Callithrix jacchus: one gene and its partners. The protein of the gene in region 1 purifies or fractionates together with the protein of each later gene. This does not show direct contact. Links are inferred from orthologs where the notes say so. Each region holds a gene or a part of one and is shown in the gene's direction. Other genes may lie near its edges. The genes, in order: TSR1, LTV1, RRP12, RIOK2 and RPS8.

Region 1 (4,049 bases):
ACAGCAGTTTCTCTTTGACAGCGTCCTCCGCGCTGCCCATGGTGTGGCAGGAGGCGGCGCCGAGCGGCCCTCCAAGCCCCCGCGCCCTCGCCGCCTCCGCGCCTCTCGGCTCAGCGCCCCACGCGCAAGGCGGAGACTCCGCCCGTCGCGCTCCCGGCCCGCAGCCGCCGCCGCAGCCACTGCCCGGTGCTTGGCTCCGCAGCCATCTTCCGAGCCCCGCAGACGTCAGGCGGCAGGCCCGGCCCCTTCCCACAGACGGAGGGGGGTTGCGCACAGCGACGGGGGATCGGGGCGGGGAGAGGCCGCTGGCGCTTGAGGGCGGCAGACCAGGGCGTGCGCCGCGGGGGTCGCTGTCATGGCAACGTGCCCGCTCCCGCTGCGAGGGAGCGAAGCCACATTGTGAACGCAGGCCCTGGAGCCCGCGGCTGAGAGCGTGCCTGGGTCCCGCCAAAGGTCCCCTGACTCCTCCCTGCTCACTCTCCCGACGGGACGGAAAGCGCCGGGGCCCGGGCACGGGGTTCCCTGCGGTCCGAGCCTGCCCACGGCGAAGGCAGTGCAGCCTGGCCCCGTGACCCCTCGGAATCCCGGGCGGCCGTCGCCAAGCCGTCGTCAAGTTTGTGGGAAGATGAGTGGAACGCAGCCGCCCGAGCCAGAGGGCCGGAGGGTCGCGGCCAGCCCGCCTCGTCGGGTCGCCACGTCCCACAGGGCCCTTCCGGCCGCTCCGTGGGAGGCGGGGCGCGGGTTGCAGTTACAGGGACGGGCGGACAAGGTGAGAGAAGTGTCTTCCACGCGATTCCCAAGCCTCGCTGGGGAATCGAGGGACAGGAAAGGCTGCTCAAAGTGATGAAGAACACATGCTGTTGCAAACGGAAGAGCAACGCGCCCGCACCCAGGTGACAGGAGCGGCCTGGGCCTCTTCTGCACGAACGGAGCCTTCCAGTCAGCATGTTTCTATGTGATGCAGCTTTATAGCGAAAAGTGAAAATGCAAGGGGCACAAACAGCCCTGCTGGGCCAACAGCCCGAGCCTCGAGAGTCCACATCCGGCGTCTTCCAGCCCCCAACCGCACACTGCGGCGTGGGAAAAGTTCCCACGGCGGTTGGGCAAAGTGGCGAACGCGGCGCTCTGGAGCGGCTGGAAAAGACCGTCGCCAGGGGGCGCACGGGGCGCAGGGAGCCCCGCTCCCCGGAGGGCCCGCCCCGGTGGACGGGACCGGAAGCGCTCGGCCTGGCCCGGAAGCGGTGTAGACTCCGAACGCGCGCGCTGCGGTATGGCTGCCCACCGGCCCGGCCCGCTCAAGCAGCAGAATAAGGCTCACAAAGGCGGGCGGCATCGGGGTCGGGGATCTGCACAGCGGGACGGCAAGGGTAAGAAGGTAGCGTAGAAGGAAGAAGGGCTACTTGGCTGTTATTAAGTCTTTTTCCCCATGCCCAGACTGAGCTGCTGTCTCCCCTCGTCTGGGCCCCACGCGAAAGGCCCTTTGTAAGGTGGGCGGAGAGGGGTCCCTTTTCCTGACGTTATTGTGGGACCGATCACACCAGACCCTTCTAATCTGCCCTCCAGGCCGTCTAGCACTGAAAACCCTAAGCAAGAAAGTGAGAAAAGAACTCAGCAGAGTCGACCAGAGGCATCGCGCCAGCCAGCTCCGAAAGCAGAAGAAGGAGGCGGTGAGAGGAGCGGGGTTTGGGAGACTGTGGCTCCTCTGCTTTTCTAAGTGGCTAATGCCTCGAACTGGAAAATGAGACCGGGTGGAGGGTCCAGGGACAGAGAATAGCCCTAGAGCACATGTCGAGCGTACAGTTCTGGCATTCCTTTCTTTGGTCAGAATTCCTGCCACCCTGCCGGCATACAGGGGGCCTTTTACCAGAGAGACGCCGGTTGTGGGTGGGTGGGAAATGCAATGCTGGAGTGAAGTACTGAGACATTGAGATGTTCTTGGATATCTGTTTTCAGGTTCTGGCAGAGAAGAGACAGTTGGGTAGCAAGAATGGCCCTCCTCATCAGGTACTGGTGGTGCCCCTGCACAACAGAATTTCCCTGCCAGAGGCCATTCAGCTGCTTCAGGATATGGACACTGGAAGAGTACACTTGAATGAATTGGGAAACACCCACAGCTTTATGCTGCTATGCCCCCACCTGAAACATCGGTGGTTTTTCACATCAGCAAGGCCAGGTTAGAGTATACAAACAATGTTTTCTATTATGTTTGAATAGTGGTAATATTTTTTTAGCATAATGTGCTGGTGCCAACCTCCTCTTCTTAACTTCTGTCTCCAGGAGATCTACACACTGTGTTAGACATGGCTAAAGTAGCTGATACCGTCCTGTTCTTACTTGATCCACTTGAAGGCTGGGACAGCACCGGCGATTACTGTCTTTCCTGCCTCTTTGCCCAGGGGCTTCCCACCTATAGTAAGTGAGTTAGCATTTATTGTGCACTTGTGTTTGATACAGGAATACAACTGATGGGTCATATTCAGCTGGTGGTGGGGGTTACACATATGGATTAAAGTTGGTCCATTATTTACAGATTCTCACTCAGGGTGCCTTTTTGTTTTTGGCTGTCCTTTGCCTAGAGAAAGAAGCATATGAAGTGTGATTTCACTGTGAAATTCCTTTAGGGTACTTAAGTGTTGGGTTTCCCAGTGATCTCTGGGCTTGCAACTGAGCTGTTAGGTTGTGAACTGCAGGGTTTGGGGTGTTTTTTGTTTTTTTTTTTTTCCTGAGACAGCGTTTTGCTCTTGTTGCCCAGGCTGGAATGCAGTGGTGTTGGGTCACCACAGTCTCCGCCTCCTGGGTTCAAGCAATTCTGCCTCAGCCTCCCGAGAAGCTGGGTTACAAGCATGTGCCACTGTGCCCGGCTAATTTTATATTTTGAGTAGAGACAGAGTTTCTCCATGTTGGTCACGCTGGTCTCGAACTCCTGACCTCAGGTGATCCATCCGCCTCAGTCTCCCAAAGTGCTGGGATTACAGGTGTGAACCACGGTGCCTGACCTTCAGGGAGATTTTTATGTAATGAAGCAATAGGTCACAAAGCATTTTCTCTTTTGCTTACAGCGCTAGCTGTCCAGGGGATTTCTGGCCTCCCACTGAAGAACCAAATAGATGCCAGGAAGAAGCTAAGTAAAGCAGTGGAGAAGCGCTTTCCAGATAACAAACTCCTCTTGTTAGACACTCAGCAGGAGGCAGGGATGCTGCTTAGGCAGTTGGCTAACCAGAAGCAACAGCATCTTGCTTTTCGGGACCGGCGAGCCTACCTGTTTGCCCATGCTGTTGATTTTGTTCCTAGTGAAGAGAATAACTTGGTGGGCAACTTGAAAATTTCAGGCTATGTTCGAGGGCAGACTCTGAATGTAAACAGTTTGCTACATATCGTTGGACATGGCGATTTCCAGATGAAACAGATAGATGCCCCTGTGGACCCTTTCCCTTTAAATCCTAGAGTAATTAAATCCCAGAAGGACCCAGACATGGCAATGGAGGTAAGACTGACTTTTTTTTGTTTCTGTTTTGTGAGGGGAAAGACATATTCTTAATTCATAATCATATGAAAGTTGGCACAGTGTACTGAAAAATGTCACGTCCAGAGTTAAAAAGAAAAAAAAAAGAAAGTTGGCACAGGAAGGAAACTTAAATTCAGAGAAGACAGTCTGTACATTTAGGTGATTGAGGAGACTGCCAGTCTGAAGTAAGGCAATAGTTATAAATATGTTGATAAATTACATATTTATCTAGCACTTTATATACTCTGCACTGCAGTTGGCTCTGAGTTTATAGAAGACACTCAAGACGCGGTTGCTTTCCTTAAGGGGCTTAATTGGGCTGGAACAAAACGGCATCTGTAAAATAAAGATAGAGATAGCATGTGGTTGAGGTACGGATCTACTATGGAAGTTTAGAAAGTAGACTAGCAAGCTTTACAGGAGAGATCAGACTTGAGCTAGGTGTTGAGAAGGATGAATGTGATTTATGAGTTGAAGAGGGATAAAAGAATATCCTAGAAGATAAAAACAATATGAACCTAGGCACAGTGGTAGATCAAAGGGT
Region 2 (4,022 bases), on another chromosome or scaffold:
TCTGGCACATAAGAGTGCTATGTATTATCTCTGTTTCAAAGCAATATCCCCAAGACAAGCTTTATGGTCCTAACCTATTTCTATAATTTTTACTGTAATAAAAGAATAATACTCCACAAATACAGTGGCAATGACTAGGACATAAAGATACAATCCAAGTTAACTCATTCATTGAGAGGACACCAGAAACTGGGAATGGGGTAGCGGGGAAACAAATTTGAAAAAAAAATCTGCTGATGAAAGTGAGTGCATTTACCACACACTTTTGTCCAAGAAAAGCTATGTGAGTGTGCCAGCACCAACCTGAAATCTCCCTAAGAATGCATGCTTATAGCCTATTCATTTAAACAGTGGGAGAGAGTTGACATTCAAACACCAGAGATGCTATTTTTTTTTTTTTTTAAGACTGAGTTTCGCTCTTGTTGCCCAGGCTGCAGTGAAATGACGCGATCTCGGCTCACCGCAACCTCCGCCTCCTGGGTTCCAGCGATTCTCCTGCCTCAGCCTCCCGAGTAGCTGGGATTACAGGCATACGCCACCACGCCGGGCTAATTTGGTATTTTTAGTAGAGGCGGGGTTTCTCCATATTGGTTAGGCCGGTCTCTCCCAACCTCAGGTGATTGCCGAAGTGCTGGGATCACAGGTGTGAGCCACCGCGCCCGGCCTCAAACACCAGAGATTCCTGAATATAATTTATTAGCTCAAATGCCTCTACAGTCAACAGAGTCTCGAGGGTTTGGTTAACAGGGCAGATGAAAGCACTTCCTGAAACGGTGGGAAATAAAAATGGATCAAGTCTGGTGCAGTCTATAAAGGCCTCGGCCTCCGTTGTCACGGCAACCGACCCCGCCCCAGCCAGGAGGGGAAACCTGAAACCTGGCGACCCCAGCCGGGTGCCCGCCTCCCTTCCGTGTCCCCGGCTTTCTGTTATGGTTGGGAATAGGTAAGGGACACAGGTCAACGGAGATGCTAGATTAGTCCCCTCTAGTCTCCGTAGAGGGAGCTATAAGAGGGGGTTCCTCCACAAGCAGAAACCCCCTTCTGCACTTCAACGCTAGGAAACCGCGCGACTCTCTTTCCCGAGAGGGAGACTAAAGGCTGGAAGAGTACAGCCCGCCAGTGGGTGGAAGCCGAAGTAGCCCCACCTCCCAGTAGCTTCTCGCGATAGTGGAGATGCAGCTAGTACGTAACTTCCGATTGCGACCCATCAGCTCCTCGGATTGGTCCATTTCCACTGCCGGGGCTGCGTGAAGTTTTCGCCGGGTCCTGGAGTCGCACGTGTGGTGAGACCTAGAGACCCGGCCCTCTAGAAGCTGGGCCTTGGTATCCCCGCCGGACTGCGAGGGTATCATCGCCGCCCCTGTTGAGGGTGAGCGTCGCGCGGCTGCAGCATGGTGAGCAAACCTAGTTTGCCTCGGCGGCCGGGCGCTGTGGTTTTGCAGAGGCAGGGCTGGTTCCGGTAATGCCTTGACTACTGCGGCCTGGGTCTGGATCATGCCAGAGGTTGCTTGCAGCACAGTACCCCGGAATGGGCCATGCTCACCACCCCGGGTATTCTTTGCTAGTTATATTCTGCTACCGCCGAGCCTCCCAGGGATGTGACCCGGAGAGGAGAATGGCCCCTGGGATCTTGCAGCCCTGCGCGCTTTCGGTTAACTAAAAGCTGGCGACTGCACACACAGACGAGCCACCCTCTGCTTCTTGGGGTCGAGCAGAGGGAGCTGCTGGTCTCCCTCAGTGGCGTTGGAGTGGCAGGTGTCTGCCTGTCTGTTTGCTCTGAGAAAGGAAACTTGTGGGAGAGTATAAGGTTGCGCCCAAAGTAAAGCCATTTAATTGGTTTCACAGTTTGGAGAATCAAAATTGAATAGCGAAACAAGAATGTAGAAAGAGATGATGGATCTTATTAAATTTAGCTGTTTGTGTCCTGATTTTATTTACTGGTTGGTAGATACCCTACGTGGAGCTGTCTACTCCAAATCATGTTGTGGCGGGCTTCCTCTCATTCTGGTTCAGTCTGCCGGGGGCCTTCCCTGAGCAGCCAGTCTAAAGTAGCTCTTAAGTCATTTTCACATCACTGTCTTATATTTTCTCCACCTGAAATTATCTTGATTTTCTTGCTAAGAACAGGGACTTTATCCGACGTTCCCAATTCTGTATTCCCAGTTTCCATAACAAGGTCTGACACAGAGTAGGTGCTCAAGGAATATTTGTTGAATGAAGGCTAAGTATGGATTCTACAGAACACAGCTGATGTTACCTTCCCTGGAAGTGTAGATTTTTAAAAAGTATTTATCTTTAACATGAGTACTAAAGATGCGTTTGTGGACTGTGGAGTTATTCTCCATCGTTTTGTTCTGTTTTAATTAATTGTTGTGATTTTGTTCCTTTGAAGCCTCACAGGAAGAAAAAGCCCTTTATAGAGAAGAAGAAAGCTGTGTCTTTTCACTTGGTCCACCGGAGCCAACGAGATCCTTTAGCAGCAGATGAGACTGCACCCCAGAGGGTTCTGTTGCCCACACGAAAAGTAGGTCCTGTTCTTTACCCAGTCAGTTTATAGGTAGACTATTAATAGTTTCTTTTTTCTTTCTTTCTTTTTTTTTTAAATTAATAGAGAAAGAGTCTTGCCATGTTGCCCAGCCTGGTCTCAAACTCCTGAGCAGTCCTCCCAGCTTGACTTCCAAAAATGCTGTGATTACAGGCATAAGTCACCACGCCCAGCTATGTTAATAGTTTTTAATAAATTGTTAGCCAGCTGTTATTTTCAGATAACAGATATTCTGGGAAAGAATCTATAAGTTAATTTTCAGTACATTTGCTGATTTTTCATGTTTTGATTGGGAACATAACATTATAAATAACATAAATGACATTCATGTTTTTTTGATTGGGAAGACAAAGATCTTTGAGATTTTAAAGGAACAAATTTTGTAAAATAATGGTTAATATTTACCAAAACACCAGCTACAATGTAGCCTCATGTTATCTAGGGCACCAGTGAATGCTCAAACTGTGCTTTCTCTAAGATCCTGCCATTTCATAACCACAAATTGCATTTTGCCTCCTGGTTGCTCATCTTAGGAAATGTAAAATATCTGAGCTCTTGGGTTAGCTCAGGGAACTTTGCAAGGAAGCCTCGAAAAGATTGACTTAATGTTGGACAGTACTTACTAAGTGTACGTATTATGAAACAGTGTTGGGGACATGGGCCATGTTTAGCTTTCAGTAAAGTCAGTTTTGTTGTATGTTGAGAGGGTTTAACATATAAATACAATAAATTGTACTTAACCTTTCAAGGCACCCAAATCTTTTTTTTCTTTTTTCCTTTTTTTTTTTTTGAGACGGAGTTTTCGCTCTTGTTACCCAGGCTGGAGTGCAATGGCACGATCTCGGCTCACCGCAACCTCCACCTCCTGGGTTCAGGCAATTCTCCTGCCTCAGCCTCCCGAGTAGCTGGGATTACAAGCGTGTGCCACTACGCCCAGCTAATTTTTTGTATTTTTAGTAGAGACGGGGTTTCATGATGTTGACCTGGATGGTCTCGATCTCTTGACCTCGTGATCCACCCACCTCAGCCTCCCAAAGTGCTAGGATTACAGGCTTGAGCCACCGCGCCCAGCCCAAATCTTTTTTTCTTTCTTTCTTCTTTTTTTTTTTTTTTATGAGACAGGGTCTCATTCTGTTGCCCATGGTGGCATGCAGAGTGGCTCCATCTCAGCTCACTGCAACTTATACTTCTTGGGCTTAAGTGATCCTCCCACTTTATCCTCCAGGTTTGTACTACAAGCACACGCCACCAGGCCTGGCTAATTTTTAAAATTGTTTTGTAGAAACGAGGTCTCACTATTTAGGCTGGGCTGGTCTTGAATTCTGGGCTCAAGTGATACTCCTGCCTCAGCCTCCCAAAGTGCTGGGATTATAGGCATGAGCCACTGTGCCTGGCCTCCCCAAGTCTTTTCTTATAACCCTCCAAATAGTTGATAAAATAAATTGTGTGTATATGTCTATATCTTGACTTGAAATGT
Region 3 (4,002 bases), on another chromosome or scaffold:
TAACTGAAAAAGAACTCCAGTTTTTTGTTTGTTTTTTTTTGAGACAGTCTCATTCTGTTGCCCAGGCTGAAGTGCAGAGGTGAGATCTCGGCTCACTGCAACCTCTGCCTCCTGGGTTCAAGTGATTCTTGTGCCTCACCCTCCCAAGGAGCTGGGATTACAGGCGCGCGCCACCACGCCCAGCTAATTTTTGTAATTTAGTAGATACCGGGTTTCACTATGGTGGTCAGGCTGGTTTCCAACCCTGACCTCAAATGATTCACCCACCTCAGCCTCCAAAAGTGCTGTGATTACAGGCATGAGTTACCGCGACCAGCTGAACTCATTTTTTTGTTTGTTTGTTTTTTTGTTTTTTTTGAGAGGGAGTTTCGCTGTTGTTACCCAGACTGGAGTGCAATGGCACAATCTCGGCTCACCGCAACCTCTGCCTTCTGGGTTCAAGCAATTCTCCTGCCTCAGCCTCCCGAGTAGCTGGGACTACAGGCGCGCACCACCATGCCCAGCTAATTTTTGTATTTTTAGTAGAGACAGGGTTTCACCTTGTTGACCAGGATGGTCTCGATCTCTTGACCTCGTGATCCACCCGCCTCGGCCTCCCAAAGTGTTGGGATTATAAGCGTGAGCCACCGCGCCCGGCCTGAACTCCAGTTTTTTCCTTTTCTTTTTCTTTTTTTTTTTTTAGACGGAGTTTCGCTCTTGTTACCCAGGCTGGAGTGCAATGGCGCGATCTCGGCTCACCGCAACCTCGGCCCCCTGGGTTCAGGCAGTTCTCCTGCCTCAGCCTCCTGAGTAGCTGGGATTACAGGCACGCGCCACCATGTCCAGCTAATTTTTTGTATTTTTGAGTAGAGACGGGGTTTCAACATATTGACCAGGATGGTCTCGATCTCTTGACCTCGTGATCCACCCGCCTCGGCCTCCGAAAGTGCTGGGATTACAGGCTTGGGCCACCGCGCCCGGCCATTAACTCCAGTTTTTTAAGGCTCACTCACTCCTGTGGTCCTGAAACCTGGTCCAGGCTGGAGTAAGAAGCCCAGAGAACCCGTAACAACCTAACGTCCTCCGTAGCAACGGATCTCCTTGGAGCTCCCCCAAATCCAAAACCAGGAGGAGGAGGAGGAGGAGGAGGAGGCGTAAAACCGGATGTTGATTGCTTTACCATAGTAATAGGCACGAATCCGGAAGTGACGCCAGAAGAAGAGGAAGTGAAGGGTACAGGGTATCCACGTGGGTTCTGAGCGTGTTTCTAAGTACCTGGGAACTGGTCCTTTAGGTTCACTCCCAGCCACGGCTTAGTCAATATGGGTCGCTCGGGGAAGTTGCCCTCTGGTGTCTCAGCTAAATTGAAGCGCTGGAAGAAAGGCCACAGCAGCGACAGCAACCCCGTCATCTGCCGCCACCGCCAGGCCGCCCGCAGCCGCTTCTTCAGCCGGCCGTCAGGTAGCTGGATTGGGACCCGAGCGCAGCCGTCGGTGGGGTTCCGGGCACACCTGGGTCCAGATGAGTCTGGGGCCTCTGGGAGAGTCCGGGGCCAGGCACTGGAACTTCCATTTCTTAGGATGTCGGATCTGGAGCTCGCTCTGAAGGGCAACCGTACCAATTTAGCAGATATATGGAAACTGAGGTCCGCAGTAGGGAAATGTCTTGTGTAAGGTACTGCAGGTGTCAGAGTTGGGACTCATGGCTGTAATGAACCTTGGATGGCTCTTTATAGACCGCATTCACCTTCATTTATTTTCTAGGTTCTCTGAATGTAGTTCCAGCTGATTCCCACTGGCGTTTATGCCATTGCTACAGGGAAGCGGAAACTTTTACACGGAGGATTCCCTTTCTCCTTGGGTTTTCAAGTTTTAGGCATGCAATGGGTTTATGAGGCAGAATTCAGCCTCTCGGGTTGGAGTCTTGGGCTGGGATCGTTTGTTTCCCTGGGGTTGTTCTGTTCTCTTGACCAAAAGGAGGCTTGGGCCTTATCTTGTGCCTCTGGCTCTCAGGAAGGAGTGACCTGACAGTCGATGCTGTGAAGTTACATAATGAGCTGCAGTCAGGGTCCTTGCGCCTGGGCAAAAGGGAAGCCCCTGAGACGCCCATGGAAGAAGAGGCGGAGCTGGCTGTCACCGAGAAGTCCTCAGGTACCTTCCTGAGTGGCCTTTCCGACTGCACAAACGTCACCTTCAGCAAAGTGCAGCGCTTCTGGGAGTCCAACTCGGCTGCCCACAAGGAGGTAGGGGCGAGGGTCAGGAGGACCATGGAACGGTGAGGAGGGGCCAACTCATGCCTTTTCTTCAGCTCTGGCTGACTGGTCTCCCGTGACAACAGCTGGTATTTCTGGATGATGTGTCATTTCTCTTCTCTTTATGTTCCCTCCTAGGGCGGGTTCCACGTGATGCTTTTTTTTAAGATGGGGTTTCACCATGTTGGTCAGGCTGGTCTTGAACTCCCGACCTCAGCCTCCAAAGTGTTTGGATTACAGGCATGAGCCACCGTGCCCAGCCCACTTGATGCTTTTTATAAGAACATCTCCCCTGCTGAAGTGTAAAGTACTTGAGGGTAGAAATATTTTCCAAAAATTTCTCTCCTCAGCTTTACCTAACACAGTACTTTGTACAGAGAGTTTTTTCAATAAGCATATGTTGAGTTAATAAATGCCCAGTAACAGTGATTAGGAAACGTTTTATCTAGCAAGAACTAAATTTTATTTACTTTTATTATGTTATCTATACTTTAAAGTTATGTATATTTTTTGTTATTGAAATAAAAAAGTAAAAATTCTAAATACTAAAATGATAGAAGAAGAATAAAATGTGATGGTTGTTCCCCCAACTTGAGTCTTTCACAGTAGCTACTGTTAATGTGTCATGGTCTGTCTTCCTGGACCAGCTCTGTCCAATAGTAATCTTAATTCAAGCCACATATGTAATTAAAAATTGTGGTTTTTTTTTTTGAGACAGAGTTTCGCTCTTGTTACCCAGGCTGGAGTACAATGGCGTGATCTCGGCTCACTGCAACCTCCACCTCCTGGGTTCAAGATTCTCCTGTCTCAGCCTCCCAAGTAGCTGGGATTATAGGCATGCACCACCATGCTTGGCTAGTTTTTTTTGTATTTTTAGTAGAGATGGGGTTTCTCCATGTTGGCCAGGCTGGTCTCAAAATCCTGACCTCAGGTGACCCCCAAAGGCGTGAGCCACTGCTACTGGCCTAATTTAAAAATTTTTAGTAGCCATATTAAAAACTTAAACAGGTAAAATTAATCTTAACAGTATACTTTATTTACCTCAGTATCTTTTTTTCTTGTTTTGTGTGTGTGTTTTGGAGACGGAGTCTCACTCTGTCACCAAGGCTGGAGTGCGCAATCTCGGCTCTGCCTCCTGGGTTCAAGCGGTTCTCTTGCCTCAGCCTTCTGAGTAGCTGGGACTACAAGCACCCAGCTAATTTTTTGTATTTTTAGTAGAAATGAAGTTTCACCATGTTGGCTAGGACAGTCTTGATCTCTTGACCTCATGATCCACCTGCCTTGGACTCCCAAAGTGCTGGGATTACAGGTGTGAGCCACCACGCCTGGCCTTAACTCAGTATCTTTAAAATATTACCGTTTCAATGTATAATCAATATATTTCACTACAGCATTATTTTTATGATAGGAAGTCTTCAAAATCTAGTGTATAATTTACCCATATACCTCTACTTAGATGCTAAATTTTTTTTTTTTTTGAGACAGAGTCTCGCTCTGTTGCCCAGACTGGAGTGCAGTGGTGTGATCTCAGCTCACTGCAACCTTTGCCTTCCAGGTTCAAGCAGTTCTCTGCCTCAGCCTCTTGAGTAGCTGGGATTACAGGCGCTTGCCACCACGCCTGATTTAGTTTTTTGTATTTTTAGTAGAGACAGGGTTTCACTGTCTTGGCCAGGCTGGTCTTGAACTTGCTGTCTCGTGATCCACCCACCTCAGCCTCCCAGAGTGCTGGGATTATAGGCATGAGCCATCGCTCCCGGCCTAGATGTTAAATT
Region 4 (3,512 bases), on another chromosome or scaffold:
TATGTCTCAGAATTAGTTAGAGAACAGCATAGTAAGGAAAGTTTCAAGGAGAAGTTCATTTCTTAGCAGGGTTTTGATAGATAAAGTTTTGTGTTGATTATGATTACATAATGATTCCCTTAATTTCAGGTTGAAATGGGCATGAAGAACCATGAAATTGTTCCTGGCAGTTTGATTGCTTCTATAGCCAGCCTTAAACATGGTGGCTGTAATAAAGTTTTAAGAGAATTAGTGAAACATAAACTCATAGCTTGGGAGCGTACCAAAAGTAAGTATTTTGAGGCACCATTTGTGAGTTTTCAGGTAATTGGTTTCCTCCAGAGCAAGTGTTCCAAAAGGCAAGAAGTAGAAGTTGCCAGACTAGTAAAGCATTCGACGAAGAATTGACAAAACATACTTCTGCCATATCCTATTAATCAAAACAGTCACAGGACACTCCCAGCTCAAGAACATGTAGGGTACCGCAGAAGAACGTGTAGGGTACTGCAGAACTGCAGAAGAGCATGTAGGATAGAGATACTGTGGCTACCATCTTTGGAAAATACAATCAGCAGTCATACTCTAGAGAATTACTTAAACCATCTGTGGTGAGGGATTCGTTTTTTCAAACCTATCACAGATCCTTACTTTTATAAAATAAAAAAAAAAATACTAGAAAAATGAAATGGATAACAGATAGATACAAAATCAGACATAAATTCTAGGTCAAATTAATATAAAATTGAACCTAAATGCCTTTTTTTATCTCATCACAAACACATATAGACCTCAGTTTGTAGGTCACACTTTAACAGCACACTGGAGAAGAAATGCAAATTATAGGAAGAAATTGGAAGTTTGTGAGCCTGAGCTTCCAATAAAGATTTTCCACTGTTAAATCTTTCTTTTGAGTTGAACTTAAGTGACTTGGTTATATAGTGTAACTAAAATGTGGTTTTTCTCCTTTGATTTTGTGTAGCTGTCCAGGGCTACCGGTTGACAAATGCAGGATATGATTACCTAGCTTTGAAAACACTTTCTTCTAGGCAAGTCGTTGAGTCTGTTGGAAACCAGCTGGGTGTTGGCAAAGAATCAGGTAAGTGCTGATAGTACTGTGGAAAGTATTTGCTTTGATTTAATTTATGTTTTCCCTTCAGAAAGCATATTTTAATTTTCCTTTTTTTCCAACTAAACAGTAAATTGGAAAGTTGGTTGGAATCAATATAAATCAGAAGGTACCCTTAATTAGTAGGTTATTATTTTATCTGAAAGTCTGTCACTGAAAATTTATTTATACTAGGAATTTTCTTCTAATAACTTCCAAGATATCTCACTATTTGTGTCCCAATATTCCCAAATTCAGATGACTACTGGTCCGAAAGTTTTAGATAAGGGATATTCAGCCTTTATTAAGAAAAATGACATTTTTGATACAAATAAAATTAGACAAAGTTAGAATTGTTTTACATGATTGGAATAAACCTGTAATAATGATTTTTTTGAAATCTTGTCTCTAGATATTTACATTGTTGCAAATGAAGAAGGACAGCAATTTGCATTAAAGCTTTACAGACTAGGAAGAACCTCGTTTCGAAATCTGAAAAACAAACGTGATTATCATAAACATAGGCATAATGTTTCTTGGCTTTATTTATCTCGTCTCTCTGCCATGAAGGAATTTGCCTATATGAAGGTATTTATTTTATAGTCATGAATGTTTTAGCCAAATAATACATGTGTCTCAAAGGCCTTAATGTCAAGTTTGATTCTGTTGCTCCCACATCTCTCTAACCTCAGACTCAATGCCTACAGACAGACTCAATCCCTAAATAATTCTGTTGATTATTTGGGCTCTTTTAAGTGATTCCCTTCTATGTTAAGGTATTTTAAATTGTTATTAATTCATAAGGGCAACACATTCTATAATATTGACAAGATGGAAGAACCAAAAACAGTTAATATGCTGTTACCTCACAAATATTTTATGTTTGGGTGTATATATATCTATTCAATACATACAACTATATATTTGTCTGTTTCTAATTGAAAATACCAAGTAATTACCATCTGTGGAAACCTTAATGTCTCAGATAAGTTGGCTAGTTTTTTGTTTCACATAGTGGAACAAACGTCATTTATAGACTTATCTGAATATTAAAAATGGTAAAAATTGGCTGGGCGCAGTGACTCATGCCTGTAATACCAGCACTTTGGGAGGGCAAGGCAGGCAGATTTCTTGATGTAATGGAGACCAGCCTGGCCAACAAGGTGAAACTCCATCTCTAATAAAAATACAAAAATTATCCAGGCTTGGGGGTGGGCACCTGTAATCCCAGCTACTTGGAAGACTGAGGCAGGAAAATCACTTTAACCCAGGAGACAGAGGTTATAGTGAGTAAAGATTATGCCACTGCACTTGAGCCTGGGCGACAGAGCAAAATTCTGTCTCAAAAAAAAAAAAAAGGTAAAAATCTTTAGTTTGTAAGAGGAAAAGATGAAGAGAAGTGGGTTAAAGGGTACAAACATATAGTTAGAAGGAACACATTCAATGTTTGACAGCAGTGTAGGGTGACTATAGTAAATGAAATGTATTTTACTCAGGAGATGAACACACTAAATACCCTGACTTGATCACTACTCATATATACTTAACAGAATGTTACATGTACCTCATACATTTGTACAAATAGAAAAAAAATACTTAACCTTGCAGATGAAATGCCATAATTGCAAAGATGGTTTTCTCAGGGTTAGGCCTTTTCATTTTACTTCAGGTGTGCTTCTTACCTCTGCAGTTTCCCCAAGTATTGGAACTTGACTACATATGTTATGGTAGTGATGAATTACAATTGTACTCTATTCTTACATTGAAGAAAATTTTTAACTTTTTGCCTTCAAAATTAAGTTCAGCATAAATTTGTTAAATATAATAGCCAAATAAAATATATTCAATAATAACTAGGTTAAACGAAAGATAATACTGTGTTTTTGTTATTCTGCCAATAGGATTTGTCATAATTTATCTTCATTTTTTTAAAAAAAATTTAAATGGAGGATTGGCACAGTGTGTAAACACCTGTTTCTTGAGGATTCAATTTGTTGTTCTTTGAGTACGTTATATTCTATGCTTAAATGTTTACTAATCATGGAAGATTTCTTAAGGCAGTATAAACTAGTACTACTGATACCATACATGTTGTGTATTTATTGTCTTATACTAATAGTTTATGTCTTATAATAGTCAGTAAATTAGCAGCTTGGTAGGGATCATTACACATTTTCCCAAAACTGTAGTAGGTGTTTTTCAGGATATTTATATGGAAGGTATAGGAATGGAATCTCATTGCACATAAATGCATTCCTTAAATATATTGATTTTTTATAACAGAGAAAAAATAAGATAAAGATTAGGCTATAGCATGACGTCTAGGCTATAGCACAAATTATAGACAAATGTTCACAATGTTTAAGGTTATCACTTGCTATTGATCTGCCAAGTTATGTTCAAAATGGTCTATGTTGAAAAAAATTAC
Region 5 (3,969 bases), on another chromosome or scaffold:
TCCTGACTCAGCCACCCAAGTAGCTGGGATTACAGGCATGTACCACCGTGCCCGGCTAATTTTTTGTATTTTTAGTAGAGAAGGGGTTTCACGGTGTTGGCCAGGATGGTCTCGATTTCTTGACCTCGTGATCCACCCGCCTCGGCCTCCCAAAGTGCTGGGATTACAGGCGTGAGCCACCGCGCCCGGCCCTAAAAAATATTTTTAATTAAAAAATATATATCCTTCTAGCTCAGAAAAAAAAAAAAAAAAGTTAGCTGACCCCTCTTTTATACTCTTCCTAAGTTCCGTTCATTTTGGTGGCTTTAATTAATTGCCATTTATAAACCAAAGATTTCCAAAATAACATCTTCAGTGCAGATCCCTTATAAGGATGACCAGTCATGAATATTCAGCTTCCTACCTGTCTTTCCCAGTTATAAGATTTAGCAAAACATCAAAATGAACGTGTCCAGAACAGCTCCTACCTAGGCCTAACCCATCTCAGTAAATGGTCCCAATATTTATCCAACGGATCAAATGAGAATTTTAAGAATCCTTACTGGCCGGGCGCGGTGGCTCACGCCTGTAATCCCAGTACTCTGGGAGGTCAGGAGTTCGAGACCAGCCTGACCAACATGGAGAAACTCCGTCTCTACTAAAAATACAAAATTAGCTAGGCGTGGTGGCGCATGCCTGTAATCCCAGCTACTCGGGAGGCTGAGGCAGGAGAATCGCTTGAACCCGGGAGGGGGAGGTTGCGGTAAACCGAGATCACGCCACTGCACTCCAGACTGGGCAACAAACGCGAAACTCAAAAAAAAAAAAAAAAAAAAAAAAAAAATCCTTGACACTGCCCTCTCCCTCAATCCCCATAGCCAATCTACCACCAAACCCTTCAAAACAAAACCAAGTCCACACTCGTTTCCAGCTCCACTGCCTTCCAGCCTTTTCCAACGCAGCCGCATCCACATCTCATCCTAAACGACTGCGGCAGCCTCAGAAAGGAGTCAACAAGCACGCATCTGCAGATGCCGCAGACTCCCCTCCTCCAGCCCAAGGTCTGACGGGGGTCAACAGAGGGTCGACAGCCCAAGGGCCCTTCCCCCGCCCGAGGCGCGGCAGTAGACACGTAAGTCTCGTCGCCCGACGTTGTTTCGGCGCTCAGAAACAACGTAAAGGTGGGGGCGGGGCAGCGTTTTACAAACCGGACCGTGAATCTGCGCGGTTTCTCTTTCCAGCCAGCGCCGAGCGATGGGTGAGTGTCGCTCTGCTTAGAGGCGGCTGATTGGGGGTGGCGAGTTCAATCCGACCCCATCTTGCTTCACAGCTTACTGAGGAGTCCAGGCGCCCCGACCCCCAGCCAGGAAAAGCCACTAAGAGGAGCAGCCCTCGGGTTTCGGCCGCCGAGCCTCTCTCTGGGGCTGCGAAGGGCGGGGGCTCTGGGCTCTGGGCTGCGGGCTCCTAGCGGCGCCAACATGGCTGCCGCGAGAAGTAGGCCCCGGTCGGGCCGCACGTGTATGATGACAGTTACGAGATGCTGCAGACTCCCGAGTGCGCGGTGGGGAAGCCAACCTTGGAGAGCTGAGCGTGCGGCCGGCCAGGCGCGGGGGTCCGGAGCTGGCGAGTCGCCAGCACCGAGTCCCAGTGACTCAAGCTTCTGTCCCCGCTTCCACATGCAGGCATCTCTCGGGACAACTGGCACAAGCGCCGCAAGACCGGGGGCAAGAGAAAGCCCTACCACAAGAAGCGGAAGTATGAGTTGGGGCGCCCGGCTGCCAACACCAAGGTGGGTGCGAGCGTGTGCCTGGCCGCCCGGGAGGTCACCTTCCCCTGCTCTCCAGCGTTCTCAGGTCTCTCCGTGTGACGGTTGTGCGTTCTTTCTGTAGTAAGGCCTGGGTGTCCTCCCCGCATTTGCTTGTTAGATAGGTACCAAAGAGGAATGCTCCCTCAGGCTCCCGTCCCCGGAGCTTAGGGTCTCAGACGGCTACTGTGTGGGGACTTAAGCTTCTGGAGGGCGGTGCCTCGCGTAATAGTCGGAAGACTGGTCTTTTGTTTTTTTTTTTACAGAGGTTTAATTTTAAGAGTTTGGGGTCAGGCTTTCCTCTTGGAGGCAAGTAGGGTGATGAAAAAGAATCCTTAGGCGTGGTTGTGGCCGTCTTGGTCGCTTTCGTGCCACTTGCCAATGCTAGGACATGTCATAGTTACACTGACTGTTGCCTCCTCACGGCCCAGGTTCCTCTCCCTCTCTTGCCTTGCTTTCCCTGGTAACCCTAGTTCCTGTCACCTTCTGTTTTCCAGATTGGCCCCCGCCGCATCCACACAGTCCGTGTGCGGGGCGGTAACAAGAAATACCGTGCCCTGAGGCTAGACGTGGGAAATTTCTCCTGGGGCTCAGAGTGTGAGTGAAGCCCTTTGGGAGTGGGTGGGAAAACTCAGCTTTTTTTTCTCTCTTTTTTTTTTTTAAGAGACAGAGTCTCCCTATGTTGCCCAGGCTGGAGTGCAGTAGCTATGCACAGGCTCGATCCCACTACTGATCAGCACAGGAGTTTTGACCTGCTCCACTTCCGACCTGGACGGGTTCACCCCTCCTTAGGCAACCTGGTGATACCCCGTTCTCGGGAGTCACCATATTGATGCCAAACTAAGTGCGGACACCAGATCAGCAGAGCGCGCTACAGCCCAGAACTCCTCTCCAGCCTCAGCCTCTCGAGTAGCTGGGACTACAGGCATGCGCCACCTCACCCAGCCACCTAACCCTTCTTAAGATTCAGCAGTGGTGGCTCATGCTTGTAATCCTACAACTTTGGGAGGCCAAGACGGGTAGATCACCTGAGGTTAGGAGTTGGAGACCAGCCTGGCCAACATGGCAAAACCCCATCTATACTAAAAATATTTAAAAAGTTATTCGGGCGTGGTAGCGTGCACCTGTAGTTCCAGCTACTTGGGAGGCTGAGGCACAAGAATTGCTTGAACCCAGGAGTTGGAGGTTGCATTGAGCTGAAATTGCCCACTGCAGCACTCCAGACTGGGCAACAGAGCAAGACTCTGGTAGTACTTTTGGCAGGAGGTCTGTGGCCTAGACCAAAGCATTTGAAGTTTCTCATTGCTGAAAGATCTTGAGGTAGCTGGAGAGTTCTCTCCACCCAGACTGTCCTGTTTTGATCTCTTTTCTTTTTTGAGACAGGGTCTCTTACTCAGGCCGAAGTGCCAGTGGCACGATCTTGGCTCACTACAAACTCTGCCTCTGGGTTCAAGTGATCCTCCTTCAACCTCCCAAGTAGCTGGGATTACAGGCGTGTAACATCACGCCTGGCTTATTTTTAATTTTTTTGAGACGGAGTTTCGCTCTCGTTACCCAAGCTGGAGTGCAATGGCACGATCTCGGCTCACCGCAACCTCCGCCTCCTGGGTTCAGGCAATTCTCCTGCCTCAGCCTCCTGAGTAGCTGGGATTACAGGCATGAGACAGGCACGTGCCACCATGCCCGACTAATTTTTTTTTTTTTCGTATTTTTAGTAGAGACGGGGTTTCACCATGTTGATCAGGATGGTCTCGATCTCTTGACCTCGTGATCCACCCGCCTTGCCCTCCCAAAGTGCTGGGATTACAGGCTTGAGCCACCGCACCCGGCCTTATTTTTAATATTTTTAGTAGAAACTGGGTTTTACCATGTTGGCCAGACTGGTCTCAAAACTTCTGGCTTCAAGTGATCCACCCACCTCGACCTACCAGAGTGCTGGGATTACAGGCATGAGACACCACACCCCACCTGCTCTGATTTCTTAACTCCGCAGTCTGATAAAGACTGTGGTTTCCAAACATCACTAGAAATGTGGGTTAGGGAGTTGTGGAAGACTGATGCCCTGTGGCTCCTAAAGACTGAGAGTTCCCTTGTTTCTCCTTAAGGCCTCACAGAGCTGAAGAACCTGGAGGAGGGCACCCGGGCAATTTGGTCCTCCAGTTTACTTGATTCCAAATTTCTCCTGT

The links.
Region 2: the proteins of TSR1 (region 1) and LTV1 purify together in Homo sapiens (co-immunoprecipitation; 4 studies listed by BioGRID and IntAct, counting the BioPlex papers as one, with this or other methods). This does not show direct contact. The link is inferred for Callithrix jacchus from reciprocal best matches to the Homo sapiens genes TSR1 and LTV1.
Region 3: the proteins of TSR1 (region 1) and RRP12 purify together in Homo sapiens (affinity purification with mass spectrometry; 3 studies listed by BioGRID and IntAct, counting the BioPlex papers as one, with this or other methods). This does not show direct contact. The link is inferred for Callithrix jacchus from reciprocal best matches to the Homo sapiens genes TSR1 and RRP12.
Region 4: the proteins of TSR1 (region 1) and RIOK2 fractionate together in Homo sapiens (co-fractionation; 3 studies listed by BioGRID and IntAct, with this or other methods). This does not show direct contact. The link is inferred for Callithrix jacchus from reciprocal best matches to the Homo sapiens genes TSR1 and RIOK2.
Region 5: the proteins of TSR1 (region 1) and RPS8 purify together in Homo sapiens (co-immunoprecipitation; 4 studies listed by BioGRID and IntAct, with this or other methods). This does not show direct contact. The link is inferred for Callithrix jacchus from reciprocal best matches to the Homo sapiens genes TSR1 and RPS8.

What each region holds. Positions count from the first base shown.
Region 1 is NC_133506.1:65,916,853-65,920,901, forward strand, and holds the start of TSR1 (pre-rRNA-processing protein TSR1 homolog), read left to right. Parts: upstream 1-1,243; 5' UTR 1,244-1,270; coding exon 1,271-1,367; exon of another isoform or gene 1,368-1,375; intron 1,376-1,563; coding exon 1,564-1,667; intron 1,668-1,953; coding exon 1,954-2,173; intron 2,174-2,277; coding exon 2,278-2,412; intron 2,413-3,059; coding exon 3,060-3,484; intron 3,485-3,637; exon of another isoform or gene 3,638-3,733; coding exon of another isoform or gene 3,734-3,841; intron 3,842-4,049. Other genes in the region: SGSM2 (small G protein signaling modulator 2), read right to left, coding at 1-40. UniProt on the Homo sapiens protein: Required during maturation of the 40S ribosomal subunit in the nucleolus.
Region 2 is NC_133505.1:150,614,093-150,618,114, forward strand, and holds the start of LTV1 (protein LTV1 homolog), read left to right. Parts: upstream 1-1,217; 5' UTR 1,218-1,391; coding exon of another isoform or gene 1,392-1,394; 5' UTR 1,395-1,494; coding exon 1,495-1,551; intron 1,552-2,392; coding exon 2,393-2,524; intron 2,525-4,022. UniProt on the Homo sapiens protein: Essential for ribosome biogenesis.
Region 3 is NC_133513.1:90,222,262-90,226,263, reverse strand, and holds the start of RRP12 (RRP12-like protein), read left to right. Parts: upstream 1-1,192; 5' UTR 1,193-1,301; coding exon 1,302-1,440; intron 1,441-1,991; coding exon 1,992-2,221; intron 2,222-4,002.
Region 4 is NC_133503.1:113,412,109-113,415,620, forward strand, and holds part of RIOK2 (serine/threonine-protein kinase RIO2), read left to right. Parts: intron 1-129; coding exon 130-268; intron 269-958; coding exon 959-1,075; intron 1,076-1,496; coding exon 1,497-1,672; intron 1,673-3,512. UniProt on the Homo sapiens protein: Serine/threonine-protein kinase involved in the final steps of cytoplasmic maturation of the 40S ribosomal subunit. Involved in export of the 40S pre-ribosome particles (pre-40S) from the nucleus to the cytoplasm.
Region 5 is NC_133508.1:81,490,672-81,494,640, forward strand, and holds the start of RPS8 (small ribosomal subunit protein eS8), read left to right. Parts: upstream 1-1,162; 5' UTR 1,163-1,233; coding exon 1,234-1,237; intron 1,238-1,494; exon of another isoform or gene 1,495-1,574; intron 1,575-1,661; coding exon 1,662-1,768; intron 1,769-2,094; exon of another isoform or gene 2,095-2,198; intron 2,199-2,280; coding exon 2,281-2,380; intron 2,381-3,969. UniProt on the Homo sapiens protein: Component of the small ribosomal subunit. The ribosome is a large ribonucleoprotein complex responsible for the synthesis of proteins in the cell. Part of the small subunit (SSU) processome, first precursor of the small eukaryotic ribosomal subunit.